Linked DNA regions of Kluyveromyces lactis. The protein of the gene in region 1 purifies or fractionates together with the protein of each later gene. This does not show direct contact. Links are inferred from orthologs where the notes say so. Each region holds a gene or a part of one and is shown on either strand. Other genes may lie near its edges.

Region 1 (16,931 bases):
GCGATAACCATAACGGAGATGCAGAGTCCAAAGAACTACTGCCCAACGATGGGTATTCCGAAGAACATGCCAGAAGGATTATATCTACCATTCCACTTGACCCAGAGCCCATCAATGCACAGCAGTCCAGTGGAAGCAATATTACATCTCCGAACGGTTCACATAGTAGTGACGTTTTGTCATTGAAATCAATCCTAAACAAAACGTCCCCAAAGGACGAGATTTTGCAGAAACAGAAAAATGGTACAATGCCATCTTCATCTTCCCCTAGCAACAATATCATAGTATCACCTACAAACACACATGCTGGTGCTTCCAATGTTGAAACTAGCGGTTATCCCAGATCTCTAAATCCTTTGAACGCCGTCACAGACAATAAACTCATAAACCATTCTACCACCGCCAAGAAAACGAACTCCCCACAATTTAGGGTTTCAAGTCCGTCAAATCATAGTAAACCGACTCGAAAGATCAATCCTGCTGCGCAGTCCTTAAATGAGTTGTTGGAGCCACCAATACCGCAATCCTTCCAGTCCGTTACAAAATCGATAATATCAGAAGGAACTGAAAACAGAAAGGAAGATACGCCCTCAATTTCTCCAGGTCTTACGGAAAGATGGGACAACTGGGAATCAGATCTTGTTTGGAAAGATGTCGACATTCTAATGAACGAATTCGCATTCAATCCGACGTTGTAATATTAAATTATTGGTTATATATTTCTATAAATACTTATTATAAGACGAATTAAATCATCGGTTAACAGATTGATACTGCGAAATGACACCAACTGCTAACCTGTCACTGGCGAGAAACCTAAGCAAAACCAGATGTCGTTATGCACATTTTCCAAGTACTTAAAACATAATCACGTGATCGAAAATACCACCAGATTTCTCTTTCTGTACGAAATCGTTACTTTGTATCGAAAATTTTTTTGAATTGTAAGAATGCCAAATTCGAAATCAGTTTCAACAGAATTGAGTAGATATATGTGGATATGATTAATCTCGATGAGTAATGAAGGTGTAAAGGTATAAAGATCTTGTTAGCAACCGAGTTTAATTCCAGAGAATAGAACGGCCAGGTGCAGTATTTGGGAAAGTATCAAAAAGGATATCTAGTGATAGTTTTTTCTGATTGTTTATAATACCTAAAGTTCAGGATGTCTGATTTGCAAAACCAAGAGCCAAGTATTGTCATCAATGGGGATCTTAATGATGAGCCAATAGATACATTTGAGGTTGAAGAAGAGGAGCAAGTTTTTGATGAAGTGAAGCCTAAGAAGACTGTTACTTTCAGTGGGATTGATGATGTGGAAGCGGATGAAGAACGTAGAAAGAGAGAATTTGAAGAAGGTGGTGGTCTTCCAGAGCAACCAACGAACCCAGATTTTTCCAAGTTGAACCCTCTATCACCAGAAATTATCAATAGACAAGCCACTATCAATATTGGTACTATCGGTCATGTCGCTCACGGTAAATCTACCGTTGTGAGAGCTATTTCAGGTGTTCAAACCGTTCGTTTCAAGGATGAATTAGAACGTAATATTACCATTAAATTAGGTTACGCCAATGCCAAAATCTATAAAGCAGAAGATCCAGAATGCCCAGAACCAGACTGTTATAAGTCTTTCAGATCTGACAAAGAAGTTGCACCAAAGGTTGATCTTCCAGGTTACAGTGGACGTTATAAACTAGTCCGTCATGTTTCCTTTGTCGATTGTCCTGGTCACGATATTTTAATGTCTACCATGTTGTCTGGTGCTGCCGTTATGGATGCAGCACTACTTCTAATCGCAGGTAACGAATCCTGTCCTCAACCACAAACCTCTGAACATTTGGCTGCTATCGAAATTATGAAGTTGAAGCACGTTATCATTTTACAGAACAAAGTCGATCTAATGAGAGAAGACTCTGCTCTGGAACATCAAAAATCTATTTTGAAATTTATTAGAGGTACCATCGCTGATGGTGCTCCAATCGTTCCAATCTCAGCCCAATTGAAATATAACATTGATGCTGTGAATGAATTCATCGTGAAAAGTATTCCTGTTCCTCAAAGAGACTTCTTAGCGTCTCCGAGATTGATTGTCATTCGTTCCTTTGATGTTAACAAGCCAGGTGCCGAAATCGAAGATTTGAAGGGTGGTGTTGCCGGTGGTTCCATTTTGACTGGTGTTTTCAAATTAGGCGATGAGATCGAAATTAGACCAGGTATCGTCACTAAAGATGATCATGGTAAGATTCAATGTAAGCCAATTTTCTCCAATATCGTTTCCCTATTTGCTGAACACAACGACCTAAAATTCGCCGTTCCAGGTGGTTTGATTGGTGTTGGTACTAAGGTCGATCCAACGTTATGTAGAGCAGATCGTCTAGTGGGTCAAGTCGTTGGTGCTAAGGGCCATTTGCCATCTATCTACACCGATATCGAAATTAACTACTTCCTATTGCGTCGTCTATTAGGTGTAAAGACCGATGGTCAAAAACAAGCAAAGGTTAGAAAGTTAGAGCCAAATGAAGTTTTAATGGTGAACATCGGTTCCACCGCTACTGGTGCCCGTGTGGTTGCCGTCAAAGCCGATATGGCAAGATTACAATTAACTTCCCCTGCATGTACAGAAGTTAATGAAAAGATTGCATTATCTAGACGTATCGAAAAGCATTGGCGTTTAATTGGTTGGGCTACTATCAAGAAGGGTACCACTCTTGAACCAATCGCTTAATCTGTAAATTAACTAAATGATTTTATATATGTCTATATGTATATATTGTCACATTAATGTTCCATTTTCTTGGTAGAAAAGGCCACATTCTTTTGCAAGATGAATATCTTTATTCTTCATGATGAAATGCCTAGGTTCTACTTGTTAGCAGTTATTAATGAAATTGCGTCCCTATACGATTCTGTTGCCAGGAATTTGGGCAAAGAGTCGTTCTTCATCATGATAAATACGGTATTTCTGATTTTTTCCAGTAACTGATACAAATCCTTCAACATTGATATAGCATGAATAATGACGTATGACTCAGTACCCTTATTAAGAGGTGTCGGCGCCAATGGCATTGACGTGTTACTATGGGATTGTACTTTATGCTCCACGCATTTCTTCCGGGCAGCAGGATCGAGGCTTAAGGGTCTATTAACAGATGCATCCGAAATGGCTCTTGAACAATTTTCCTTGCCTGAAGTGTCGAACGCAGTTTTAGTTGGAGACTGAGGGTGGAATATTATTCCAGTAATTGTTTCTCTAACGTTATGATCAATATTAAGTTGATACGGAGACCCCAGTGCAATATAAGAGGAGTAAATATGGTAAACCAGCGAAAGGCATTCGCTAGTTTGTTTTAAAAGAGCTGATTGAATTGTATCTTTCAGTTTAGTACTACCACCAGTTTTCCATTCCCTTAGATCCATCTTATTGTGTTCGCTCTGGTTTCGAGACTCAATGAGTTTTCGCAGAACCGACATTCTTTTTAAAAACTTCGTTATTTCAAAGTATACGTCTAGGTTTTCTGCACACATGTCTTTGCAAAGATGCTCTCTAAAAAGATATCGCATCCCAGGATCAGCCAGAATTTGTTTGAGAGACAGCAACTTTAAACCGTCAGGATTATAATTATCGTCCCCAGTACCTGAGCTCGAACTTGAATCCGAGCTTACATCATAGTTCGACACCATTACATTTTTGGTTCCAAAATCATGTCCGCTTTTGAGCTGAGAATTACCTGGGAGTGAACGACTGGAGAGTTTTACGCTGCAATTAACGCCGCCATAATTCTCAGTATCCGTTCCGATTTTAACCCCGTCCATGAAATGCGGAATCTTGGGTAGCCCATCTACTCCCCATTGAATTACGTCCCAACCGGCTTGGGTCAATGTATAGTGTGCTGTTTTTGAAATTAGAAACTTTTTCTTGCTGTTTTGACTGGGAGGTAATAAGATTGGTGTAATTAGGCCGTATTTCAGAAAGAGTGCTGCAACTGCAACACATTCTTTAGGGTACATTATATCAGTACATTCCATCAACCATTGCCAAAGGGCTTTTGTGGTGAAACAGTAGTCAATAAACATTCCTTTTCCAAAAGTTTTGTTCCCGAACAATCGAAGCCCACAATCACTCACATAATATTGAATGTGAGAGTCAGAATCTGGATTTGAAAAAAATCTATATGCAAACGGAGATTCTCTGTCCTCATCTTCAAGTTGTCGAGAGTTTAACGAATGTAGATTGTTTTCAGTATGTTGAGACTGTGAATTTCCTGAAACATTATTTTTAGGGTTTTCACCAAGCTCGTTTACGGCGAAGTCTGGTGACACATTTTCAAATGAGAAAACATCTGAGCTTCTTTGATCCAATAAGTCAGAGAGCTTAGGAATTTTATCTGTTGGATTTTTTGGGGACCATATATTAGGTTTTGGACCCATGACCTTGTTGAACAATAGATTTATGAAGTATTCGCTTTGAATGACAGAATCATCTAACGTATTTCGCTCGAACTTGAAAAGATTCATCGTATTGAAGTTTGAAGTTAATATTGGAGGCAGCTCTTTCAATGCAAACTTCCTGGCATAATCACACGTTACGGCCACCCCTTTAGGAGTCGGCTGCAAAAGAATGTTCTCTTTTGGCCGACTTCTTGTCTTATCCGCAGGTGTATGTAGTAATTTAGCTTTCATAAAAGTGTTCAATAGCTGGTATCCCAGTTCTGGTTTGATGGAATAACTGATGTAGATACTAGTGGAATTCATTTCCACATTAAGCTCCAGCTCCTGTAGTAGATCAATAGCCTCCGTAATTGAAAATGTGAACGGAAAACTTTTCTTAGCGAAATTCAAGAGTCGATTGCTACTTGATCTTGGTTTTTCCTCCAGCGGAAGACATATTATCATAATAGAAAATACTGTTTTCAGTTCATGAGTTAATATTGAGCCATCGGGTGAGCGGTCGAAGCTATTAGAAAACAATTCATGCAGCGTTTTTTCCTTTTTATTTGACTCCGAGACCATATTATCTATTCATAAGAAGAAGTAAATCAAAAATAACAAAGAGCGCGACAGTACAACATGCATATACCTCCTGGTATAAATACAGCTAAACCCCCCTTTAATTCGTGAAGCGAAGCCAACAGTCTTTACGTCTGAATAAATTCGAAGTTGTCAGTTCTTGGTTTTGCAGTAACGTACAATCCACATAAATACCAACTGCAAGTATCACCTCTCGAGAAGTAGGGTTGCTAACATTTGTATCGAACGGCTCAAAGCATTCCTGGTGCTCTATATATAAAGGCAAATGTTGATGATCTTAATGGCTTGTTTCAGATTATCACGGCGTGGTTATATCCTGGTTCACCCAGTAACGGATCTTTTGAAACAATGTTGAATTGTTTGTGATCAAATCATTTTCCTTTTTCCCTTCCAGCGTGTTTTTTGGGCAATATTGACATGAAACATGCAAAGTTCCGGTACAAACCTCAAAATGTCCAAGAAATAGGAAAATGAAACAATAAAGCTATGATAAGATCGGTGGAATTATTATACCGACATTCTAATCGATACTCAAACACAGTGTGAAAATGAGGCACTGTTTGCCTTCTTTTAATTATTTGTGCAAATCGGTACCTATTTGCTTGTTGGAATTGTTTATAGCAAACACATCGAGCATCAGTTGAAACGTTCGAGGAATTTCTGTGATGCACCGCCAACAAAGAAATTACCCCAGGGTTCAATTCTGCTGGAAAGTGCATAACTTAATGACCATGTTTAAATTGTTTATCAGTATATTTAAGTTGCTGCTTGGTGATTATTGACGTGCGTAATTTTGATTTGGTTTCCAAATCTGGATACATCAACAATGAATTTATACCAGCAAAAAATCTTCATCAGCCATAATTTCCCTTTTATACGTAATGATATCATTCACAGACCACATATCATAATCTGGTTAGCACTTTAATGGATGAATTTCTGGGATACATGAAGAGAAACAAACGCACTTTCCCTCGTAAACTATCTATATACTATTTAACAATCTCGAAGCAGCAGGCCACTTTGGGGAAAAAACATGTCAAGTTGGGTTTAAAAAGTAGAAAAGTACCAGCATAGTTTCAAGCCCAATTTAAATTTAATCAATAGTAGTCTGCAACGTCTTTTGGTTTGACATTGTTGGAATGCGATGACTTGGAATCTTTTTGCGTAGATTGTGAGCTACCATGGCCAATGGTCCCTGGATTTTCAGAAGCTCCCGGTCTGTAACTTCTCCGATCACCAGCTTGGCTGTATTGATTATACCCTGTATTTCTAGAGGTATTGTAGTCCTGATTTTGATATCTGTTAGGATAGGATCCTCCTCTAGGAGCAGAAGGACGTTGTATAGTAGGATGATGCGAACGATCAGCAGGTGGAGCATAATTGTTATTATAATTTAGACTGTCTCTACCAGTTTCCCATCCTCCTCTATTACGGTAACGTTTCCCGGCATTATACGACTCGGTAGTAATTCTTGTATTCACACCGAACCTTGATTCAGCCGGATATTTCGATGCATATGAATCACGAGGATTCGGTGGTAATTTATTTGGTCCAGTCGGTATACTGTTTTTAGGACCTTTTGGAAGAGGCGCAGTCGGAATAGGTTCTTTGGGGATGTTCTGAGTTGCTGCACCATTGTACCGTGAGGCGGAGGGTTGCGCTGGAATGGTTGATTTTATGTGTTCTGGTCTAGGAGCCTTTGGTATTGAAGCCTCTTTTGGAAATGCAGCACCTGTCACAGCTCTTATGGAATTATCAGTCGATGTATGTCCTGTTGGGGCAGATGGCGGTCTTTGAGACATAGATTCGTTCATCTCACTTTTGTATCTTTTAATATCGGATTCGTGGCATTCTTCGTTAGGCAAAGTTAGCTGTGCATTTGGCAACGGTTCTTCGAAGAAGAAAGGGTGTTTTTTAGCCTTCATGGCAGTTACACGCTTGTATGGATCTAGAGCTAGTAATTTAGAGAGAAGATCCAAACCTGTCTCGTTCAACGCTTTCGAAAATCTTTCTTGCAACGTACTTTTATAGTTTGTTTTTGTCAACTCGGATCCAGGTAAATGGTAAGCTAATCCCCATTCATCCATCGATGGTGTTCCCATGAGTTTGAAGATGACATGTCCTTGATCAATATCTGTTTGACCCTGAAGGATTGGTTTTTTCTCAAAGAACTCAGCAAATACACAACCAATCCCCCAAATATCAACTGCCGTAGTGTAATGTCTATCACCCAATACAATTTCAGGAGCTCTGTACCAACGTGTAACAACGACCGAGGTGTATTTAGCACCTGATCCAGCACCACCAGGATATTTAAGATTTGGCGGAGAACCATAATAGTTTCTTGCTAGACCAAAATCTGCAATTTTTACGACACCTTTATGATCTATAAGGATATTGGCTGTCTTAATATCACGATGCAAAAATTTATTGCAGTGAATATAGTTAATACCTTCCAACAGCTGTAGCATGATGTTTTTAACATCAGCCATGCCGAACTCCACTCTGGGGTTATGTAACAACCCTGTTAGATCGGAAACCATGTATGGTAATATCATGAAAAAGTGTTTACCTGTTATGAGCTTCTGCTGATTTGCCGTGTTGTTTCCATGATAGTTCCCAACAGGTCGAGGAGACGTACTATCTGTCTTAGGAGTTGGTGACTCGTCGTAGACAATCTCAATCAACTTTACGATATTTTTATGATTCATGCGCTTCAAAATGGTAATTTCCCTCTGAGCTGTTATTGGAAACAAATCCTTTTCTGCTCGTACTAAAATACGTTTAATAGCAACCTTTCTATTTGTGCCTAAATGAATCCCTTTAAAGACTTCACCGAAAGTACCTTGCCCTAATTTTTCTTCCTCACGATAGTTGTTCAGAAACTTAGTAACACCGTACACCTTTTCATTTTCTCTGCTTTGAACCTGAATGTACTCCAAACCAGTCTTATCATCTTTAACAACAGTGGGTATCTGTTTCACTTTGCCTATCTTATACTTCAAAGACGCAGGCTTCTTATTCACAGTGCTCATGGCTATAGTATTCTTTATTCAATGCAAAGGAGCGATAGCAACGATTTTTGTAACTCTTACAACAAAAACTCCAATAATTAGGTTTTATGATACTTTAAACTGCCATGTGATGCAATAAATGACCGTTCACACAATAATTACTGATTGCAAAAGGACCGTTGTTGTACAAAGCGAATTTGACATTCATAACTATTCTTTAATTTGAGTTTAAATTTTGCTTAACATGTTATACAGGTTGAAATTGTCATTATTAAAATAATATCACGTGACCAATATGGCGTTTCTACTCAAGAGTCACAACCGCTTTAAGTTTATAACTAATAACCAGCTCTTTTGTAGATGCCATTTTGAAGGTACGGTAAGTATTCTGGGGCCTTTAACTTCTAAACAAGCCTATGAACTTCAGTAAGCCATAGTTTTACACTCATTTCAAAAATGAAATCAGACATCGGCATTAAGAATGAGTCTTATTCTACTTCTAGCTTCAATGAAAGTATATATCACTGCAGAAACATTTCGTGATCTTCTTGGTTGTCAATTAGGATAGCGCTTAATTGCGCCTTTTTGGAATATATAGTATTGAAATGACGCACGAAAAATAAAGCACTTACAAACGAATAGGCCGATCATGAAACAGTCATCCTAAACGTCCATCTGCTGAACATCTAGTGACATTGTCTAGAACACGCTGTTACTTAAGGAGTTCGCCAATAAAAATAGGTTATTCTAATGGGAAGATGATGATAAACTTGTCTCGTTCTTACTCCTGAAGGTGAAAAGTGGAGAGCATTCGAAACAAAGGAGATAACGGTGTTTGACTTCAATATTTCACTTTCTAAAGCTAAGCAATTATCAAAGTACCTATTTACTAAAACATATTTGATGGATATCACAACCCAGCTCCAAGAACAGCCTAGTTCACTGGCTGAACTATTCTTTTAGCTGAAGCTTGAACGTTACACATTTGTTTTATAAAGATACTCTCATCGCTAAGATAACAAAAAGAGCACAAAAAGCACCTCCCTCAACAAAAAAAAAGGAAGCGCTATCTCGTATGCTCTGTAATTCTAATTATACGTGCGAAAAATGGACCAAATTACGCAGTGGAGGTGAATTATCCAGCAAAATTATTTGTATCATAATATATGTTTCTTTCCTTGGCTGTACAAAATTGTACCATTTTTTTTCTTAAACGACAGATGTTACAAATTTTCATTGAGATGGCCTTTTTTTTCTTTTAACGAGAAAAATATCGACGTGATATTTAAAGATGAAAAAAAATAAGATACACTGATGATGAACTTTCGTGTTTTAGGTAATGAAAGAAAGTGTTAACTCTTGCCAGCGGTTCTTTTAATATAAGTTGTTTATACCATACTACGCTGTAGATTATATCAACACACAACTCCCATAGTTATTCAGCTAACCCTTCAGAAATAATGACTGAACAAGATCTAGCCAAGAAGCAAAAGACTGTGGATCAACCACCAAGACCTCAAAACGTCGGTATCAAGGGTATCGAAATTTACATCCCATCTCAAGTATGTTCTTAATACGTCAATTACTGTTATAGCAACTCACGGGCTTGCATATTTTGTTGAATTTGAGCGTTTTCGAGACTTCTGTTCCTACTTTGCTGAAGTACAGCGGCTGTGCAAATAAGCTTAAACGAGGAATACAAAAAAAACGGACACAGATAGTTGCCAAACAAGAGGGAATTATTGGCCAGTTCTTTAATTATGGATAGGAAGGCATCATTTGGAAAATTTACTAGCTATCAGCTCTTCGGTCTTCTTTCTTTGTAGGCGCTGTTGGTCCTTATATGTGTTCCCTCTGGTTTTGCCGCCACTAGTAGAAAAACAAGAACAAAGTGATTTGCATTGAAGTTGAAATCACAACAGTATTAACTAACTGGATAAATGCATCTTTTAATATGGACAGAGCATATCCTACCAAACGCGCATCTGATCCTTCAAACTTTGCTACGAGAAGCCCTCACCGCGTTGTTTTCTCAACCTCACCCAGTCTTACTAACATTTATACTTTATCCTTTCGAAACAGTGTGTCAACCAAGAAGAATTGGAAAAATTCGACGGTGTCTCATCCGGTAAATACACCATTGGTTTGGGTCAAACAAACATGGGTTTCGTCAATGACAGAGAGGATATTTACTCTATGTCTTTGACTGTTCTATCTAAACTTTTGAAGAACTACAACATCGACACCAACAACGTTGGTAGAATCGAAGTTGGTACCGAAACTCTACTGGATAAGTCTAAGTCTGTCAAGTCTGTTTTGACCCAACTTTTCCCAGGAAACTCTGATACAGAGGGTATTGACACTTTGAATGCTTGTTATGGTGGTACCAATGCTCTTTTCAACTCTTTGAACTGGATTGAATCTTCTGCTTGGGATGGCCGTGATGCTATCGTTGTTTGTGGTGATATTGCCATTTATGAGAAGGGTGCTGCCAGACCAACTGGTGGTGCTGGTACTGTCGCTCTATGGATCGGTCCAGATGCTCCAATTGTCTTCGATCCAATAAGAGGTTCCTTCATGGAACACGCTTATGATTTCTACAAGCCAGATTTCACAAGTGAATACCCTTACGTTGACGGTCACTTCTCATTAACTTGTTACGTCAAGGCTTTGGATAAGGCTTACGAGGCTTACTCAAAGAAGGCAATCGCCAAGGGTCTAGCAGCAAAGCCTGCTGGTAACTCTGCCATCAACGTAACCGAACATTTCGACTACAACGTGTTCCATGTCCCAACTTGTAAATTGGTTACCAAGTCTTATGGTAGATTGTTGTACAATGACTTCAGAGCCAACCCATCTCTATACCCTGAAATCGATGCATCTTTGGCTTCCGTCGAATATGAAACTTCTTTGACCGACAAGAATCTGGAAAAGACATTCGTCAATGTTGCCAAACCATTCCATAAAGAAAGAGTAGCTCCTTCCTTGATCGTCCCAACTAACACTGGTAACATGTACACTGCTTCTGTATATGCTTCACTTTCCTCCCTATTGTGCTACGTCGGTTCGGATGCTCTACAAAACAAGCGTATTGGTTTGTTCTCTTACGGTTCTGGTTTGGCTGCATCTTTGTTCTCGTGCAAGGTTGTCGGTGACATCAAACACATCGTCGATGTGTTGGACGTTGAAAACAAGCTAAAATCCAGAAAGACCGAGTCTCCAGAAGATTACGAAAAGGCTATCCTGTTGAGAGAACAAGCCCATCTACAAAAGTCTTTCGAACCTACCGGATCCATTGAAAACTTGTACCCAGGTACTTACTATTTAACCAATGTTGACGACAGGTACAGAAGATCTTACGCTATCAAAGAATAATTCAATGCATAGAAAAATGCATTAAACAAATTCATTTATCATTCTCATCCATTTTTCTCTGTTGTCTATCTACAAAAACGATATCTTGATTTTTTTGTCTTCTGTTGAAACCTTAATAAATCTTACTCGTTGACCAATCCTGATCTGCGCCCTTCCACCTGACAAACTACTTTACAGAGGAAAGGAAAAAAGAAATACCTTGCTAGCTCTATGTTGCACCAGTATTTTTAAAGATGTGATACTTCTGTTTTATTCATAATAAACAGTATTTGCGTTGAGATAAAGTAAGCAAAAGATAGTATCTATCGTCATCTTCGTATCCGCAACCCAATCTCATATCCTGCAACCACCTCGGATACCTTGCTGGTCCCCACACTAAACGCAAACAGGCAGAAAATAAATATATTTATATGTATATTTTAGACACACCACACACGTAAATTTAATTGCCTTTCCATTCATTACTGAACTTAAACTTACCTTGCTCGATTGATTGTGTTTTTCAGAGCTTCTTCCTGCCATATTCCTAGCTTGTATGCTAGCAGTAAGCCTCTCCTTCCGAATGTCACATCCAATCCTATCTCCCGATGGTAATATCGGTCCAATTCCAAAATACGCTATTTCCCATAGCTAGTCATTCCTTACGATCCTTTTGTAAATACGAACATCGCTTAGCACTGTTTTCGTTCGAATTACTTTTCCCAGTCTGAGTGAATTTACTATGCGAAACATCGCTACCGTCCAGAAATCGGCCAATAGAACACAATCGACAGAAAACGCTAAAAAAAAAGATGATTGAAGCAATACAGTTTTACGGTAGTTTCTATGAAAACACCCGGACACCACACCATAAAGCTCGTCTTTCCGGCTTCTGAGGAATTTATCGTAACAAAGCTAGTAAGCTCCAACAGTTGCAGAGCTTAGCCCTCTGACTCCTGAGTGTGTCCGGAAGAAAGAACCAATAGGAATATTACTGAAGCACGGTAAAGTTTAATTCTGTGCCACGTCACAGCAAATCACAGCTCAGGGATCAAAAATAGACCTGGTGGTTGATCTGACTACTTTTGTTTCTAGGGTAATACGCTCATGTCCTAAGAAAAAATGACTAACCAAAAGAGCTATCCCCGGGTAAGAAGTAGTTTCGCGGCTCTAAATAATAAGCGTTCATAAAATTTCCGTGCTTTTTATGGGGGATTCCCTCTGTTAAATCTCTGCAGCATATCAGAATGCTTCTTTTCCCTCCGTATCAGAATGACAGAAAATAAAGAAAACTGATAATTTGACAAAAAAAAAAAGTAGAAAACAGAAAGTAGAGAAATAGGAAAAGAGAAAACTTCATATATCTATAGAATCAAATATTCATCCCTACCGGTAATATTGGCTCAGCGGTCAATCAAGAAGTAAGCACAAAAGTTGATATTAAAAGGGAGCTACAGAGTCAGTAAAGCTTAGTTTCTCTGTATAGAATAAGCTTCAAGCTGGAATCATCTCTCTTATATTCACTGATTGACTTGGTCTTTTTTCCCTTCCCTGTCACGCTGGACTAATTGCATCATTATTGACCGTTGAATTATTTACTGTCTCACTTTGTTAATTTGGAGGGTTGATAGATATTATATTGGCTTCCATAAGACGAATCTAACTTTACCGTAAAATAAGAGTACCTTGGGATAATTGTCCTTCTTTTTTGACAGGAAAGGTATTTAGTTCGGACTTATTGTTTCTTCTCTACATCGTTCAAATAGTGGGTTAAAAGACAGGATGCACTTCAAATCATTGAAATGTAAGTTCTACTGTAAGGGGTATCATTCCTCTGCACATAAATCGGCAACGTCCTTTTTTGATAGCTCGTACCAGTATTTGAAACAGAATCAGGGACTTGTGAACTTGGATACTGCTATTCCTCAACATAACATTTTGACTGCTGTTCCACATCCCGTAGTGGTGGCCAACGTTAATTATAATAACGTGGAAAGGGCTTTACAGAGTAGAGACGCAGAGCTGTCGAGATTAGAATCAGAGGAGCTAAATTTATTTTATGAAAAGGATGGTGAAATTTTCTATTCTGGCGAACATGATGTAAATTATTCGAAGAAGAGCTCGTATGGTGCCAACCACAATAAGAAGAAGAGATCCAACTCGTTTACCTATCTATCGAATGAAAAATCTGCTCTAATTAACGAGAAGTTGTCTACCCGTTATTATTCTACCAAGGTACAAAATTCTCAAAATAATGCAAATAACAATCTACGAGCAACTCCGATCACTCCTCCAACTTCACCTCCTGTCGAAAAGCATCATAGTTTAGAGAAATCTGGAGCGAAAGAACAAACGGATAAAGGTGCAGTGCCGGAAGCTCTCTTAGATCGTTTAAAAGATGTAAGATTGGATGACTCAATCCCGGCATGGGAAACAGATTTGGAACCATGTTTGAATAAAGAAGCATTTTTAGAAACACAATCTAAGCTGATAGAAGATTGCATGAAGAACAAAAATTATAATCAGGTTAACGCAATTTATAAATCGTTGATAAGAAATGAAATTGTTCCTCCGTTGTCATTATTTGAACAAGTTTTGACTTCTATTTGCAGAAGGGACTTAGATCAAAATAATATCGATAACCAAATGTTTGAATTACTTAACTGTTACCAAGATATAATTCAGAATAAATTAAAACCAAGCGCAGAAATCTATCACCTTGTTGTAGGTTCATTGTTGTCTGGATCAATCAGAGCGTTTGAGTTACACAACACCAATGGATTAGATTTTTTCAAAATTGCCATTGATCTGTTCTTTGCTTCTAATTTGAATAAGAATAAGTCCTTCGACCATGAGTTTTTAGATAATCTTTTGTTGGCTATCAATTTATACCCTGGCCACATAAAGTACGGCTATATCAAGAATTTCATTGATTCAAACGTGAAGTATTCAAAGAATGAAATCTATTACATTTCTTTAATCTCGTACGCCAAGATGTTGAACGAACATGAGGCAGTAAAAGACCTTTATCAAGATTTTAGATCAGAACTTCTGAAAAATATGCAATTGGTTGAACACCAATATGAAGTGTACTCTGTCGTCGTATCAGCTTTTGCTGAAACTGGATCGTTAAGTTTAGCTACAAAGCTCTTAGATAAGCTTCTTGTGGATCTACAAGCAAAAGATGGGCATAACAAGAACGTTTCTTTGGTCATTTCGAACTTTTTGATATCTGTCGGTAAAATAAATTCGGAAAAGGCATATAAGTTGTTGATGGAATTCAGTAAATTAAAATGGGTACCAGAATTCTCTTATGAATTCTACTTGGTCATGATCGCAAACTGCCTCAATACTAATTGGCCATTGGTGAAAAGAATATACAATTATATTTTCCCTATGAAAACGTCATTCAACACCACGAAAAACGATAATAAAATCAAAAATTATTTATTGTATCCAAGTGGATTGGAATCGATGCCCAGCACTATATTGACATACGCCCTAAGGCAAAAAGACGACGAGCTCATTATGAAATTGGTCGAAGAATCGAATGTGAAAAAGACTACATTCCAAAGAGGATTGTACCCTTACATTTTTAGCTACTTCCAAAGCATAGGTTGCCCGGAGCCTTACTTACTTCGTTTTGTGAATATTCATGGTTCTGCACTTTCAACCGATAGCAAGCCTCTAGTATTCGAATTTTTGAATGCATTGGTCGAAAACTATCAATCGCAACCTATCTTGAAGAAGGTATCAGAAATGCCTTTCTTTAAGAGTGCCTGTGAAGCGTTCACTCTTGAAAACGCTTCTGCAGTTAATTACGCAGGTTTCATTGTTTGTTTCCAAACGTTGTGGAAAACTCCTCAATTGATTCAGGATTATTCTTACAATCTTGAATTGCATGGAATAGCTGTTTCGAGATTATATGATCTAGATACCTACTATTTGGATATTCAAAATGAGATGTTGTTAGATTTCAAAAAACAAATGGCTGAAAGATTCCAAAAGCTTTGCGTTAACTACAAACGAATTCATTTGGATGCCAACAAGATTTCCCCTGTAGCAATTCAAGCTATGAAAATGGTCGATCTTTCCGAAGATACTGTGGCTTATTTCCAACACCCTGGTGACTGGGACAAATCTTACCCATTAAGCTTGGGTCCGGTATTGCGTAACTCCAAAAGGACAGGGTTCAAGCAATATGAAAGACTTTCCGAAGATGGCTACAAATTTGATTATGATACTTTCTCCGAATTGATTCACCAGAAATACATAACCTCTGATGTTATAACCAAGACTATCAATTTATGTCCAGACAAGGAAACCCTCAAGTATATCTCTAATTGTATTGTTGTGAAATGTCCAAAGAATCTTTTGGAAGAGGAGGTAATTCAACATCAGTTATTCAGTAAGATTCTTGAGAACCTAACAGATAAATCGCTATCAAAGCTTGCGTTAAATTGTGAAAACATCCGGAATTTTATTAATGCTGTTGGTTTCCCCGATAGGTTCAAAAGTATTACTTCTCAAGCGGAGTACAAAGGCGCTACCGCGGTTATATTTGCAGCGCTATTTAGAGCGAAGGACTATAAATCAGTTATCATGTTCAATGAAATCTGTCCATGCCTAGACATTTCATTGATCTTGAAATCTTTCATTCGCCTAGGTGACTATGATAATTATCTTTCTCAAGAAGCGAGGTTTAAAGATTCTATGTCGCCTGCTGCCCTTGGCGTAATTCGATCCGAATATCTAATAAATCAAAAGAAATTTGAAGATGCAATGTTACTGCTTAAATCTTTCCCAGATGTTATCGATCATCAAACCTATGACAAGTACTCTTTTGCATTATTTTTATCATCATTCTCCGGAACTCCTGTTGATGTAGACTTCCAAATCGAAAACACGTTGCAGTTAGCGAACGTGCTCTCAGCCCAACATTCTTTCCACAATATGATTCACTGTTACGAAAGCATGACCAAAGGAAAGGAATTTTCACAAGACTTGAAGTTGAACTTTGGCATTAAGATGGAAATTACCCAACAAATTCTCAACAATATTGAAGATTCTATGCAATTTCTTGATTTAAATGATACTTCTATTATAGAGAACTATTACTCCAAACTCGAAAACTACATGAGATTCAGGGGTTATCTTAAAACAATAACTTTCACCGAAGACCAAATGTTGCAGTTGCTCAATATATGGCAAAAAATTAACCCAATTTTGGTTGACAATTTGTTCAACAACATCGTCGAATCAGTATGTTTGAACAACGCTGTAAAGGTTATAAACTTCAATGATAATGGTTCTTTTAACGTTAGCAAGACCTCGCTAATGGTACTTTTAGATTCCATTTCTGCCATTTACAAATCTGAAGGCTTATCTGATCATCATTCTAAAGTGGAGAGTTTCAAAGATATTATAGATTCTTCCATGCACTAAACAACTTTCTGCTGATGTTACCTTATTCTTACTATACTTCTATCATACTTTCCATGAACAATCTGTCTCATGAAGAAAGTTTTA
Region 2 (16,035 bases), about 390 kb from region 1:
TTAAAAGAGAAGCTTCGGGAAATCACGTGACCAATGCGCTGGGGCACCTAAACTCGTTAACTGCTTATGGGAAAGCAATGAAACCTTTGGTTGCACGCTCGAGACGGTTTAACAGTGTAAATAGGTTATGAAGTCAAATATGTCGAGATATACATTGCGTGTGCAGGTAGTAATTTGATGAAAATTTTTTTTTCCTCTAACCATAGGCTCCATTGAATTCCCCAGATTTTGTCATTCAATGAGTCTTAAGAGGTTTGAACTTGTTGTTTCACAGCATCCGAAAGGATTTCTTGCATCAAAATTTGCATCTCTTCTAGCTCATAATGAGGACTTGCACAAGTTAAAATGATCTTGAGCATAGATATGTAGTGTCTCTTGAACACTTTATCGAATGCACCAAGGTTAATTCCGTTCAACCAAGCATGTGCCAAGGGATAGAAGAAGAGTGTAGCGTACTTCCTAAAATTATTCTGCTGTTGTGTAATCTTACTATCAGTCTCTAAACGTTTTGATCTCCAAGTAACCTTGCTTCCTGTTATTTCAGTAATATCTTGTATCTTATTATTTTCAGGTTGCTGTTCAGTGGCCGATTCATCCCATGGTAATCGATTAGTAGGAAAATCGTATTTAGGTTTCACCACAAATTCATCATCAAAACCCCGTAGTTCCCTTGCACTCAATGCTGCAGATGTCAAGATTACCATCCTTTGTTGCAACGATAACTCGTTATTGAAGAGAATTGCATAAAGATCGACAATCTTGTCTGGACATACAACCAATATGCTAACTAATGCATTAGCCTTCCATTCTTCAAATGATTTTTCGTCAAACTTGTTCGATATGGTGGCTATCTTTTTGAGGAGTTCTTTAGAATAAAAAGATACTTCTGTTGGGAAGTTCTTCTTCTGTCGTACTAACTTCACAGTTTCCTTTAGCAATCTAAGTTCGGACCCATCATTCTTGATAACTTTCTCGAATTCCAGCAAAAGATCTTTGAGGAACAAGATGTCTCTAGAATCTTCTTCATCAGATTCATCGTCACTGTCCTGCAAAGTTATGGTATTAAATTGCTGTACAAGTTCATTCTTTGTAGAGTTCCCTTTTGGCAGATTTTGTAGTCCTTCCTTAATGGGAAATTCAAGTTTGGATAGCTTGATTAGTTCAATTCGAGGCAAATCGATTGTAAAATCGCTTTCATATTGAAGCTGATCATTTGTAAGTTTCTTGGCAACAAACATAGTACGCTCCCTAACCAGATGATCCTCAGAATGAAGTCTCTTGGTGACAAAATTCAAGGAAATTGCATCATGCGATAGTTCATCTCTGGAATCCTTAGACATGGCATCTAATATCATTACCAAGATTTCAGCGAGTGAATCATCTGTGTATAAATCCATCAGTTCAAAACATGGTAGTAATTCTCTGAAGAGCTGTGCACGTTTCGCTTCTGACATACCATGCAAGTAAACAATTTTAAAATACGGATTTCCCCATTTGAAGCAATCTATGCTAGTTGGGATATCGAATGGTAACTGGGATAGTAGTGTGAAAATGGTAGAGCTGTTATCAGGATTAGTTACTTTTTCAAGGAACGGGACCAAATGATACATGAAAAATCTCCTCTGTTGAACTGAGGTCCCCTTTGATAACATCATAATCAAAGCATTCCATGAAAATTCACTAGTAGTAGCAAGCCCTTCAATGAATATATCAACACCATAAGGAATATTGAGCTGTAGACATGAAACGAACATTTCGAGATGCGTCTTATCATATTGCTTCGTCTCTTTAAAGACAAATTCCCATTGCATCTTCATAAACTTTAAATATTCAACGATGGAAATACTGCTGCTTAAAGCGTTATAACATCTGCTTCCAAACAGAATCGATTTGATAAAAGGGAGATCTCTTCTTGACGAATGCTCTAAGTAATTGAATAGACAATCACTCTCATACTTAAGAACATCCGTTAAAAAGCCGTAGAATATTGACGTCTCACGATTCTTACCCAATTCTTTTGCATACTCAATAACCAATGATATGAATATGTAATTATTACCGCATAGCCTGCGTAGTGCCATCTTTAATTCTCTCGGTAGCGATGGATATATTGGTACCACATTCTTGATTATCGGGAGTATTTCGTTACTAGAATGCTGTTTCTTTGATGACATTCGTTCTAGTACCTGATAAATGGTATCTTTATCACATTTCTCATTCAACAAAGTACTATCAATCCCGGACATTGTGCGCTATAATATACAATCTATCACGTCAGCAGCACTTTAGCAGCTTTGCAATGCTTGTCTCATCTATAGGTTTTCATCTCATAGTCTTTTATTCATCTCATATTAAATGTCAATCTTTACAATAACACAAATAAAGAATTGTTTTTGTTTACATATTAGATTCTGTACTTGAAAGTGGCAGATTGCAGAAAGAACTAGAGACTATACACATATCAGCCCGCCAACTTCGTGGATATTGGGTAGCCAGGCTTTAGCCCATACTGTAGTACGTTTGAAACAGACAGCAGTCATATCGAAATGAAAGGTGTCTTGAGTGATATGAAAGTTGACAACAGAGTTAGAAGACCGTTAAACGCTGGATCAACAAAATACGATACGGAATGGCAGGCTACGTCAAATAGTTCGAAGATAACTACAGCACAGGAGAATAATACCAACTCCCTGATTGACTGGAAGAAATTGTACGATTTTGTGGATAATAAGAGCAAAGATTTTGAGAACTACATTCAAGTAAATGATAGTTTCATTCAGTTATATCGCCAATTGATCTGGCGTCATCAGTTGAAGAAACTTCAGGAACTTCCGAAAAAGCATATGAATTGGATTATTTTTTTGATGGAGAGAAACAAATTGACACAAGCTAGCAATCAGATCTTAATGCTATACAACGAAACCAATTTAATTAAGGCCAAAGGTATTGATGACGTTTTGTTAAGTGATTTTTCTGCGGGCAATGAGAATTACTTAGCAACATTAAAAGTAATAACAATGCAGTTGATATTGAAAACAGGAACGACAGAAAGACACGCGGAAAGTCTTTTGGAATGCTTTGCTCATGATACGCGATACCTTCTGAAAGACCCTAATGTGAAAGTCCACGCTTTGGTGAAGCTAATATTAAACTTCTTTACATTGCTAACTGGATTCAAGCCTTTGTTTGGACTCAAATTCGTTCAGTATGTGAATCAGTTCAAACTCGAATTTGGTAATTACATAAAGAATATGGATTCTTCGACGTTTCAAAGACAAATTACCAAATTACTTCGAAAGGATATATCTGTAAACTGCCACATCTATTTACCGAAATACTATGATGAGTATACGAAACATATGGAGAACGATCAAGTGAACTTGACCGAATTTTTGAGGACTGATGTTATAGGTAAGGACGTTTGCACGGAAATAAGAAATCAATTGCGCCTCCAGAGTTTTTCTGCAGGTAAGATCGATGCACTTCTACGACCTTTTTTGTATCAAGCTGCCTTAAACAAATCATCCTCGAGATTGTGTGATAGTCTAATCATTTCTGTCAATAATTCCATTAAAGACCTGAATGAGGAAGCTGTAATTTATGTTCTTGTTTACCTATCCAAAATATTTTTATCATTTGAGGACTTCAAAAGGACTGATAATGTTGCGGCTGTTCTATACAATTGTTTTGTTACGAAACGAAAGCTTCTATTCTTAGAACATGCCGCCATGGTCAATTACAGAGCATATTTACGAACGTCGAATATTTTAGAGCATTTTAAAAAGTTCGAGAGAATTATTGGTTGCTGCCAAGATAGAAATGTTCAAAAGTTGCTATTTTCATACGTATGCAACGTTTTCATGATCTTCAAAGAAAATACACTCCAAGATATGTGGAATTTGACAAGAAAGAGTTTAGTTCCATGCTTTCGCAGGATGAAACTAGACAAATTTGAAATCTTCAACTTTTCTTCAGAGCCAATGTTGTGTCTTTTATATTCTGGCTCTCATTTTTCTTACCAATTCAAGTGGTCTCATTTGTGTCAGATGCTAACTGATATTGTCACAGATGTAAAACAGTCTGACCTTCAAATCGACATGAAAATCAACACATTGGATTCATTTTCGAAATATGAAGTCTTAATAAAATCAATGTTCTGTTTGAATTCTGAAATGAACAGAAACAGCTGTCTCAAATTGCAAAAGGTCTCCAATATATACTTAGAGAAATGGGTGAACAAGGGAAACGAAACAAAACTCTCAGATTTAGAGCTTATGCTCTTGGAATCTATGATGCCTTTTCTCTTACAAAACAAAATATACAAACTTACTGCTGAAATATGTACACAACTAAGAAGCGTACAGAGATATGCATCCATACCAGACCTGATTTCATACTGGCTATTGGAGTCATATGTTGGCTTGCAAATTGGGCCTAAGGTAGAACTTTCCATCATGGAAACGGTTTCCGCACTGAAATACCAGCCGTCGTCTTTCACTGAGATGAATGTGGATCAGCTACATACAACATTATGCATTCTATTAACCCAGGTACTGTGGAAAAAAGACATCGAAACCTTCAATAAGTTAATTCATGATGATTTAACGAGATTTAGACCCAATCTATTTGACATTCAGAATAAAACCAAAATGCCTGTCGCTGAATATTTGAAGATTCTAATGTTAAACATCAAAATTACTCGTTGCGCATCCATTCTTCAACTCTCTCAAAACAACGTCTATATGTCTTTGAAAGAATGCAAACGCTCGCTCAAAATATGCAGACTCTTGATAAAGAAAGAAGCGGTGCTCTCTGCCAAGTATCGATTTGAGGTAATAAGCCTTCTTGACGATATTTTCCAAAGAATTATTAGCATTTATGTCCACACCGGTATTTTCAAAGACTGTGCATTTTTCATAACCGAATATCAAGAGGTTATAGGGTCGTTGGATAACCCAACAGCTCTTTTCAACATGTTTTCCTGCCTATGTTCCTATTACCAGCTGATAGAGGAATCAGAAAATGCCTCTTTATCACTAACAAAAATGAATGCTGCCTTCGACCAGATTGATGGAAGTGCAAACATAGAGGCTTTGGCCACATTCTTGTATTTTAACAAGGAATCCGAGAAACTGAATAATTCTATGAGGTTGTTCTTTGGAGATGACGTGTTTATTTCAGACATTGTCGAGTATTGGTTATTGAGAAGCTGTCAAAAAACTTCAACTGAAACAACACGAAAAGATTTTGAAGCAATGGTATGTATGAACAATGCAAAAATCCTGTACAACAAGGTCCAGAAGCAAATGGCCACTGATACCTTCTTCAGAAGCATGGGCGAATCAGTGATGGCTATTCCTGCATGCTATGACTGTGATAGTATTTCAGTTGATGGGAGGCATAAATCACTATCACTAACTAGTGTACAGACTTTAAAAAGCGTGAATGACTCACCCCGCCCATCATCTCTTACTCCTAGGGGTAAGTCACTTGCCTATTCTTTTGATCGTTCCACTGCAATCAATAATTTACAAATGACAGATCGCTTCATTCAAAATGCTGACATCAAGGCCCTAAAAGCTCATGAAATTCGAGAGTTAGCAAGCTTACATTCATTGACATTGTCACTATTCTTCAACATGAGTACCAAAACAAGGCTGGAAAGCCAACTTGGGCAGAATTTCAGGTTACGAGATCACCCAAGATCATTGTCATTACTATATGAAAAAGCTTTCTCTGATATGGGAACAGAGATATATGATTCTTTTATACCCGAAACTATTGCTACTGAATCCGTTGAAATGTCAGAATGTAATATGAATTTGGCAACTATTCATTCAGAGTTTGGGAAAAAATGGTCTCATCTCTCATTCAATGTGGTAGAGATTGACATTTGCCAGCTCACTGGTGATCTATTAATTACTAGATTCGATACAGTACGCAACAAACACCTTCATTTACGTTTACCTTTGAATCGTCATAATTCCAGAGACCTTTCGGAAGAGGTCTTGGGTTTTGAAGCCGCCCTCGATGAGTTAAACCATATCATTTCTTCCAACAATTGTACCACTTCAATTGAAGTTACCTCGGTCATTACCACCAAAGAACAAAGGAAGAACTGGTGGGATGAAAGGTATGCTTTGAACAATCGACTCCAAACTCTTCTCACTAAAATTGAGGATTCATGGTTTTGTGGGTTCAAAGGAGTTTTTAACCCAAGAATAGTTGATCAGCAGCAATTTGAAATCTTCAAAAAGGGCTTCCAATCAATACTACACACGCATCTTCCTTCAAGAAAATCATCGAGACAATCAGATTCTTTTCTTCAGGTAGATAACATGTTGATAGAATTATTTGTCCTATTAGATGTGATAAATCAACCAACTGAGAAGGCCGTAAGCATGATGGAAGATTTAATATATTTCGTGTTTGATATATTATTATTCCACGGCGAGCAAAATGCATATGATGAGATTGACGTAAATCTAATGCATGTTAAATTCGAAGAGCTGTTACAAGAATATAATGCAGAATCTAAAACCAAAGATCAAACATTAGATCATACGTTTTTAATATTGGGTAATAAATGTCACTCGATACCTTGGGAATCTTTAGATTTCTTGAAATCCATATCCATCAGCAGAGTCCCGTCAATAAAAATGCTCGACGAATTGTTAACCAAACACTCAGAGCTTTCTCCTTGCGTCAACGTTTCTGAGAATCTCTCGTTTGTCTTAAATCCTGGAAATGATTTGGGTAGAACAGAGACAGTATTTAGTTCAGAATTCATTGCAATGGCGAGCAGGACTAATTCAAAGGCTTTCATTGGTAAACCGCCAACGGTAGACGAATTTTTTCATTCTGTGGCAGATTCTAATTTGTTTGTATATGTTGGACATAGCGGTGGAGAGCAATATGTTAAACTAAAGGACTTGAGAAAATGTAACCATTTAGCACCTAGTCTCTTATTGGGCTGTTCATCTGCTCATTTAAAATACTGCGGAACATTTGAAAGCAGTGGCACCATTTATTCGTACTTACTTGGTGGGTCTCCTATGGTTGTGGGGAATCTTTGGGATGTGACAGACAAGGACACAGACAAGTTATCAGTGTCTGTTTTCGAAAAGACCGGATTCTTTAATTCCAAACCAATCTCAAGAACTGATGAAAGTGACGCAACTATTAAACAGTTTTTAAATGTCAGTGAGGCAATATCTCAATCAAGAGATGAATGCAACATGAAATATTTAATTGGTGCAGCCATGGTTATATATGGATTGCCGATGCGGTTTACCGAGAGAACTGTACCAACATCTATTTAGAGAAATTAAGTAGACTATACACTAATCGTATCAGACGTTCATCTTTCAAGAACTTCAAAACGACACCAACTTCATGATTCTTCAATTTATCATTAATCAAAGCCCTTATCGAATCATTTTCTACTACCTTTAAATTCAAGATTATTACAGTGGGATCTTTGGGTAACTGCTTAAGCCGTACAAGCTCTATATCGTTGTCATTATTGTGATCGTATGTCAATACTACATCCCAATCTTCAACTACGACTGGAACAGAAGACTTTCGCCGGTCAACTAATTGTGTCATGCAATTCTCAATGCACTGTAGTAGCTCCTCCTGATGCTTTTCCGTGAATAGACTCTTGTCTAGCACAATGTCTGACAACGATATGTTAGCAATCCCCGAATCATTGACTGCAGTTGGAACTAATTGACCTAAACCAGGTTTCTTCCCTTTAAATATCTTCAAACTGTTCGCTACGTATGAACTGCTTTTACCGCTCTTCATATTTATCAGTGGCATCAATGTTGCTAACTTCCCCGGATTCTCATTACCAGTTTGCACCAGTTTCATTTGAATCAATAAATCTCTGGGGAACTTGAATCGCGATGCCTTGTCACTTCTCATTGGTGAGGCCAGTAAATTAGCAAAAAGGTTCTTACTAAGGTCCCATGAACTATTTCCAACCGCTTCAGTGACCTGCTCCTTGTCAGTAAGTTTCAAGACCCGCTCTTTCCCTGCCCATCGATGGAAATTCGTTAATAAGGGACTTCGTACCTCTGGTACTTTCAACGTCTTCTTCAAAGAATTCTTAGTCCCATCGCCTCTAGAAACGAATAGTTTCCTCCAACCTTTACTCATATTACACGATGCATGTACCTAACTGTCTTAGCCATAGGCTAATCATGTATTGCCTCTTGCTCATCGATTCTTCTCTCAACATTTAAGTGGTAAAACAATAGCTTAAACAATTTTTCACTTGATTACATACCGGTTATACCACATCTCAAGAAGAATAAAGGCTAACTAGTGAATTGGCAACAAGATTTCTCGAGCTTCAAGGCATCTAGATAGGTGGAAGTGATTAACCATTATGCCAGGTTTCAATAGTACGATGATGGTAAGGCTTTATTCTACTGCCAAGATATCTATTCATGATATAACCCAGCAAAAGTTCAGAGAGACTATGGGAAGGATCTGTAATCAAGCGATGATTTTGACCACAGCTGTGCCTATACATTGTAACAGCGATAGATTCCGTGGTGTTACATTGTCCAGTGTTACGTCGCTTTCGTTGATGCCGATACCGCTTATTCAATTCAATCTGCAGCTCCCCTCGTTTACTTCCGATTTCTTACACGATTTTAACCATTTTGCATTACATCTTATGAAACCTAACGAGCAATCGATTCACCTGGCCCGGAACTTTAGTAAGGGTGCCATGAAAAACACCCATAATGGTGAGATAGTTCCGACTCAACCTTTTGTAGGGTTACAAGAAGGCGTCGAATACGATACTTATGACATAAACGGTACTAATTTACGTATTCCTTTGTTGAAGAACGCCGAGAGAGTCATTGTATGTCAGGGTTTGAAAACCTTCAACGTGGGTGATCATGAGATATGGGTCGGAAAGGTCGAGGATATTGTGAATCGAACGTCTGAGGAAGGTGCTGATGATCCGATTAGTGGTGGATTATTGTACTGTAATCGGAATTTCCATACGTTGGGAGATCCCATTAGGAAAAAGTCTGGCTAAGATCCGCTTTTATTAAAGTGTATTACGATACGAATTTTAATGTCTTAATGAGCAATTTATCCATGGTCAAAGACCCTTAAGTATGACAGGTTAGGAAATACTCTTTGTTTTGACGAATCGAAAAAAGTTGTACTCTGCATTTAAATAACATCTGTTATGGTTTTATCTTGAGCACCAATGGAGCCTGCTTTGGTCAGCTTGCCATTTCGGTAGTTACGATAAAAAAAAACATTCCTTCCATGTGTATATCTATATCCATATCTGTGTATATATTCACATACCGTTTATTCATGTATGTGATCGAAAAGGGTGCACCTGTATTCAAGCCTTGAGCGGTGAACAAAAGTGGAATCAGGAATACAAAGATTCATGAATGTTGATAGCATTAGGATCATCATCCTCGTTGATTTTCGCATCCGATAAATACTGGCTGTTAACAGGGGTTGGTGCCTTTTTAGAAAACATCAAACTGTTTAATGAGTTGAAAGATACCGTTTTCTTGTGCTTTCTGACAGGTTGCGTTTGTGATTGTTTCCCACCTTGTAATGCTGGAGTACTCAAATTGTGAAGTGGGTTAGAAAGAATAGGTGAAGCAGCACGTAATGAGCTAACTGATGGGACGCTGCTTGCGCTCGAATTCTTCTTCAAATTGTTATAGGGAATATTCCTCGAGGTGGACGTTTCTGGCGTATGATTGAGAGGTATCACTTTCGCCGGATGTGGTGCCTCTAATTCGTTGATGTGGATCTTTGGGATGGCGTTCGGCGTTCTTGAGCCCTCGCCGGTTGGTGTCGAGTGTTGAGACGTTGATTTCACAGGAATTGCAAAGTAGCCTCCACCACTACCACTAGAGGTGTTACTAGCTGAAGTCACATTCCCAGAAATATCCTTCGGGGACATGAAAAAGTTGAACTCGGCACCTGTATGATTCGTAGTATTACCGGCATCACCGCTTGTTGTTCTTACGTGGGTCAAAGGCGTCAAGTGATGAACTGGTGTCATTCCATTGCTAGTTATAACGTATCCCATATTAGAAGTTTTATTCGAGCCTGAGGAGCCATCGTTAGAAATGAACGAAGTTGGAGATACTTGATGAGATGGCAATTCGGTAGGAGGCGGCCTAGCTTCAATAGTAGGTGCCAGAGATTTAGGCCTTTCCGTGGCAAATATTAAATTTCCATTATCGTCAATGGCTGGGGTATTTACCTTTGATCTCAAGTTCACTTGCGAGACAGAAGGAAGTTGTATGTAGTGTGGTCTCTGTTGTAAATTACTTGAAGACTGGCTTGACAAGTGAAGAGAAGAAGTTGGTTCCGATTTAGATTGTCCCAAGCTCAAGGTGCTGCTAGCAAATTTATTGTGAGCTTTCAAAATCTTTTCTTCGATGTATCTGGCTCTATCCAGAGTATTGTGGAATTTGGTTAGATCTTTCAAATTATTAGTCCATTTCTTGAATTCTTTGACATCGACATCTGCTGGTCTTTTGAAGGTGATACTTGTGAATTTTACGGTATCATCACCACCAGACACTACTCTGCTATCATTTGAAGAGCCCATTGCTAAATTGTTGTTCTTACCGTGTTTGCCACTTCCTGGTTTAAAGAGCTTGGAAATTGTTGAAGTAGATTTAGAGATCTTCTTTAAATCATTTGAAATGGATTCACTAGCACTCTCTTCCATAATATAAGTCGACTTACAGTTGATGGTAAATTTATCTTCTATCTCCAGCAATTCAGACTCGTTCAATGAGATACTCATAATAGGAATAATGGACCTCCCCTTGTTTCCCGAACTAGGTATGATTGCATGTTCACTATTTTCGCCGGTGTCCTGTGTCAGTTTAAAGAAGTTTGAAGATTTGAACTCATGCAAGTAGTTAGATGTTAGGACAAAATAACCCTTGTTGTATTGTTTCAAATACTTTGATTTCTTTAGCAAATATCCGGCTCTGATACACTTAGCCAACGAAGATTTCATTTTTGGGTATCTAATATCAGACAACTTTCTTGGCTGTGGGATAGGGTCAGTAGATTTCCAGTTGAGCAAGCATCTTGGATGATGACTAACAAAGTTGTCCCATTCTACACATGGTGGTTTGGAAAGAATACCTCTTTGTAACTCCCTGCACAAGTTGTTAATGGAAGTACGCGCTTGAACATCAATGATTGCTGAAAACTTTTGCAAAGTTTTCTGAATAGTTGAGAAAATAATCTTTTCCAATTCCATACCAGAGCTTTGTAAATTGATGTAGGCCTCTTGCAAATAGTTTTCTTCCAAAAGTTGTCTCTTCAATTGTAAATCCAATTGTAACTTTAGTAAATAAGGATCATGTTTCGATTTAAGAGATGAATTTCTCTTTAACTTGATCAAATCAGATCTGCTAGCATTATCGTTCAAAAAATTCACAGCAGCAATGTACTTGTGAAGCAATTGCCCCGTCAATGCGACGTGCTCTTGGATATTGGTTTTGAAATCAGCATTGAGTTCCTTAATCTCTTTGATCTTGTGGCTCAAATCTTTCCTCAAATCCTCTAATTTTGGAATGATCTGTAGGGTGATCTCTTTGCTCGATTTAACTTGTTGACTTGCCAAAGAGAGGTGGTACTTCTTTAGAATAACTTGAATGTCCTGTATAGAACCTGATCCAAAGTTCATGAACCCAGCGCCAGAGCAACTGTCGTTAGGTTCCAGTTGCAACTCTTGCCCAAGATCGATACTTGAATTGTTCAGGGTACTAGCATTACTGGCAGCAAACGGATCCGGTTTCTCGTCAAATGGCGATTTCATCTGCGTCATTGGTTGCGGTTTCTTTTGTGGCAAATTCTTCGTCAATGGATCTGAGACTCTGTTAGTACTTTCATCTAAATCAGTCAAGAATGAGAACTTCACAGAATTCTTCAAGGAATAATTGATTCTTGCGAATTGTTCTTGCGAATATGCAACTTCTCTCAAATAAATGATCATCGCCTTCAAGATCTTCCGCCATTTATGAAACCTATCCGCCAAGATATCAGTAGGATATTCTCGCACAAATGACGCTGTACCATCATCATATAAGTCTAATCCCTCAGCTTTTCCAGCATTGGCACTAGCACCTGCACCCGAGCCCACACCAACATTAGCACCAGCTCTGGCACTGATATTTGCATTACCGGCTCCTGAATTGGCACCAGCACTGGCACTGTTAGCACCAGCTCCTGCCAAGAGAGAATGCTTGGGAGTCGGAACGTTCACGTAATAAGGAGAATGATAGTTGGTCTTGGGTAAGATATCCTCATACTCGGTTTCATCAGCTAAATCCAATAAATAATTCGAATCCGACGAAGCAACTGATGAGTTATCTGCCAGTGATCCAGTATCCGTTTCTTCAATTCGCGGTTCCATCGCTGATAATGACAGATCAAAGCTTGGTTCCTTGTCCCTAAAATAAACCGATTATAAAGTCAACAGCAACAATGCTAAGCGATATTCCGTTGCCACTCGTATCACACTGGTATGTTATGTGCTTCCAGTGAATACTGATTATCTATGTTACTCGACGGTACAGGGAGTTTAAGGAGTGTTATTTGGCTTTCTTTCTTTGTTTTTGTGTTGACATGGTGTGGTGATGTGTGTGATTCAAATTCCAATTATTTCGATTCTATTTATGTACATTCTCTTGATTAAACTCAAAACAGAGTCATGGGCTCAGCCGTGTACGGTCCAAGAATAGCAATTTAGGGCATGAGGAGGCTGCTATAGTGTGCTTCAGGAAATCGTCAGAGTTTATTCAAGAACTTGATTTGGATGTACGTAAGGATATTTAGTTTATCTCTCGGGATTCTGTATCTAAATTCAATAGATTTATAAAAGTTTATAAGGCAGAATGTTACACGGCGGGACGAGCCTCAGAATCTGAGGGTCTATTCGCCGGTCGCTCGCTTTGTATTATCTTCATTTATCTTGGACTTTACCACCTTTCTTGATGATTCTGACAGCAACAGAAAGCATGGTTGATAACCAGAATAAGTTCAAAACGTCAAGGATCAGGTTACCGGTCACAATGATGGCCGTTTCGAGAGGTAAGAAGCTTGGATCGTTTCTGATGTTGTAGAAATCGGTACACAGTTGGTAGAATTGGTAGAAACCCCAGCAGATTCTTGCCAAGAAGAAGATCAAGATCAAAACGACATTGTTCACCAATTGGATCACGTTACACACCTTGGCCATGACAGTCTGACAGTCTTTGGTCAGTTGTGGCAAGTACTTGATCCCGAACCATCTGATATTCAAGAATGGATTGGATAGCTCGAACATCAGGAAAATACCTGCGTAGTAGTTGATGTAAGGTTTTAAACCAATAGCATAAACCACCGTAGAGATCAAACCGTGCAGCACGAATGGGAGGGTAGAGTAGACCAATGAAATGTAGATATCCCATAGGAAGTACCCAATTGCGAAAACGCATACCTTCACGTTATATGGGTCCATGCCAAAGATACGATCGTGAGAGTTTAGATCTGGTTTTTCATTGTTATATGCAATGGCCTCGAAACTGAGATAAAGCACGATCAGAGATTGGATCCAACTCACCAGACGAACGGCACTCTGGTTGACAAGGTCTGCATGCTGCTTTTCCTTAGACTTACGTTGGTCTTTCGTAGTCTCCGGATCCCAGGATAACCTATAAGAAGCTAGAGGTGGGAATAAGACCCGTTGAGATAACAGGAATAGCGCATGATACCCGACGGCAATGTACAACACAGTGTGTAAATTGGATAGAATCACATTCGAAGTAATCCATCCATTGGATTCGAGATATGGGATCACGTACTCGGTCAAATGAGGGTGCGGAGGTAAGGACATCACATAGGTCGTGAACAGATCTATCTGTTCGGAAACAGCTGCTGGAACGACGCTGCTAAACAAAGAACTACTCATCTTTGGTTATTGAACAGGCAACAAAACTCTCAACCTCGAGGGAAACAGTACCACAGCTGCTGGTCTATCCGTAGTAGCACAAAGCCTTTTTTTCTCCTTCTGATCTAGTTCCGTTTGAAGTGGTGAATGTGGATTTACAGTAATTTGTTCCATAAAGCTGCTCGAGAGATGCCATCATAAAATACGAGATGAGACAAAGATGATATATGGTAAAGTACGCAAGCTATGGACCGTACATTCTGGCGTTAGGTGGCATGCACTTTCAGAGTACTAGATTTCTAGTTCATTGATGTATTTATATATATATATATATATATCGGTAAATTCTATTCGGTAGTTATAAATGGGGAGGAACTCTTAGTTCTTCTTTGCACTTCTTCTCTCAGTGGCTTCTGCTGCGTCCTTATTGGCAAGCATCAACGCAGCACGGTTTAGTTGAACGACGTTGGCAATCTGCTTGAATATGTACCCTGGAAGACACACCAGCGCGATGATAGCTCCGATATGGGTGGATCCAAGCAATGGGAAGTAATACGATTTGAACTGAGGGAAGGCGTTGATATATAGACCCATGTAGAACATTTCGTTCAACGCACAAATCGTGAATAGCACCTTACGTCTCGTGTAGTATAAGTTGAGAAGCCATTGTTCCTTTTCGATGGCCTTGTGCGATTGAGACCCTGTGCTTAGCGTTGCGTACATGTGGATATAGTGGCTTGAAATGTCCAAGGCAACTAGTAGTTGGAACACGGGCGACCATACCGGATATGCCACGCATAGGAAACAGATCAATGCTGTGGTGGTGGATCTATCTGTCACCATATCCAGCACAGCACCGAATGAACTGATCTGGCCGTACTTACGTGCCATTGTCCCATCTAGTGCATCTAACAAACAAGACACTCCATACACTACCATCGTCCACAACGGATGCTTGGCCATCAAAACCAACGATAAACACATCGTCACCACACGCACATACCCTATCTGGTTTGGGATGTACCATAGCACATCTCTAGCGGTGACAGCGGACATTTGAAACTATTTCACGAGATTATTCTTGTTAACTCGTCGAGGCTCTTAATTTAAGTAGTTTCCAGAAACAATCTGCACAACTTCGCAATAGTAACACCAAAAATAAGAATTACCACTTGTACTTAGATCCTACGCGTCAATTGCAGCTAGAAGTGGCGCCGTACCGACTGGTTTTGTCGTCTCTTTTTCTCTTTTGCATCAGCCATCGGTAAGTTGCTTTGATTCGTTTGGAAGTTATCATTAAATGATTCTGATATTGATCACGTGACTTATACACAGTAGGATATTCCTCTACATCAACTATATACTGGAGGTAAACACGCTCTCTGTAACATCCTCCGTTGGTATGAGATATATCCACAGTTGTCCTATGGAGATCTCCCCCAGCGCTGTCCGTGATCAAAGAGATCCATTGTGCGTTCATACACGAAAAGACTGATTGCTGTCGTTGGAACAGATTTACATAGTCCCATTGTAAGTCCTCGGTACAACGCTGATACACCCTCCTGTCTTAGTATCTTGTAAATAATTGCAGTGGATGATTTATACCTGTACTCGTGGTAAACAGCAGGGAATTTGGTGAAATGAACTGTTCTCTTAGAGTTCATCACTTGCATTCTGCGACGTAAAGTGTCAATGGGGAACACCATCGTCTTGGATACAAACCCTGCGATGATCCCTGAACTAGCACTTACAGGTCGCGACCAGAATTCTTTCTCGTGGTTTTCACAGACTATATTCACGGTCTCATATGTGAGAAACATGATAGCCGTGGATAAAGTAACCGTTGTCATCGCAGTGGATATTCCAGTGAAAAAACCTCGTACACCTTCATTGAGCCACATTTGTCGGCACTCCTCTGCGACACTGGTCCGATGGCTCGTTCTGTTTGCTATAAGTCTTGTCCGAAGCAAATCTAGCGGGTAAGATACCACTGAACTAGTCATTCCTGCCAACGCTCCGACCGTTAGCGTTTGTCCCTGCTGTGAAAACCGAGGGAACTTCGCAGACCAAACGTT

What was found.
Region 2: the proteins of RPM2 (region 1) and RRG8 purify together in Saccharomyces cerevisiae (affinity purification with mass spectrometry; 4 studies listed by BioGRID, with this or other methods). This does not show direct contact. The link is inferred for Kluyveromyces lactis from reciprocal best matches to the Saccharomyces cerevisiae genes RPM2 and RRG8.

The regions. Positions count from the first base shown.
Region 1 is NC_006040.1:884,093-901,023, reverse strand, and holds RPM2 (ribonuclease P), read left to right. Parts: upstream 1-13,184; coding exon 13,185-16,847; downstream 16,848-16,931. Other genes in the region: leucine-responsive transcriptional regulator LEU3, read left to right, coding at 1-698; GCD11 (translation initiation factor eIF2 subunit gamma), read left to right, coding at 1,166-2,728; GTPase-activating protein SST2, read right to left, coding at 2,866-5,013; cyclin-dependent serine/threonine protein kinase SGV1, read right to left, coding at 6,132-8,069; ERG13 (hydroxymethylglutaryl-CoA synthase), read left to right, coding at 9,509-9,610, 10,131-11,423. UniProt on the Saccharomyces cerevisiae protein: Ribonuclease P generates mature tRNA molecules by cleaving their 5'-ends.
Region 2 is NC_006040.1:1,268,106-1,284,140, reverse strand, and holds RRG8 (Rrg8p), read right to left. Parts: upstream 8,164-16,035; coding exon 7,315-8,163; downstream 1-7,314. Other genes in the region: TEL2 (Tel2p), read right to left, coding at 246-2,246; ESP1 (separase), read left to right, coding at 2,547-7,322; KLLA0_D15103g (flavin reductase family protein), read left to right, coding at 8,396-9,061; KLLA0_D15081g (uncharacterized protein), read right to left, coding at 9,413-12,445; ALE2 (Ale2p), read right to left, coding at 12,995-13,981; PIS1 (CDP-diacylglycerol--inositol 3-phosphatidyltransferase), read right to left, coding at 14,339-15,016; thiamine transporter TPC1, read right to left, coding at 15,385-16,035. UniProt on the Saccharomyces cerevisiae protein: Required for respiratory activity and maintenance and expression of the mitochondrial genome.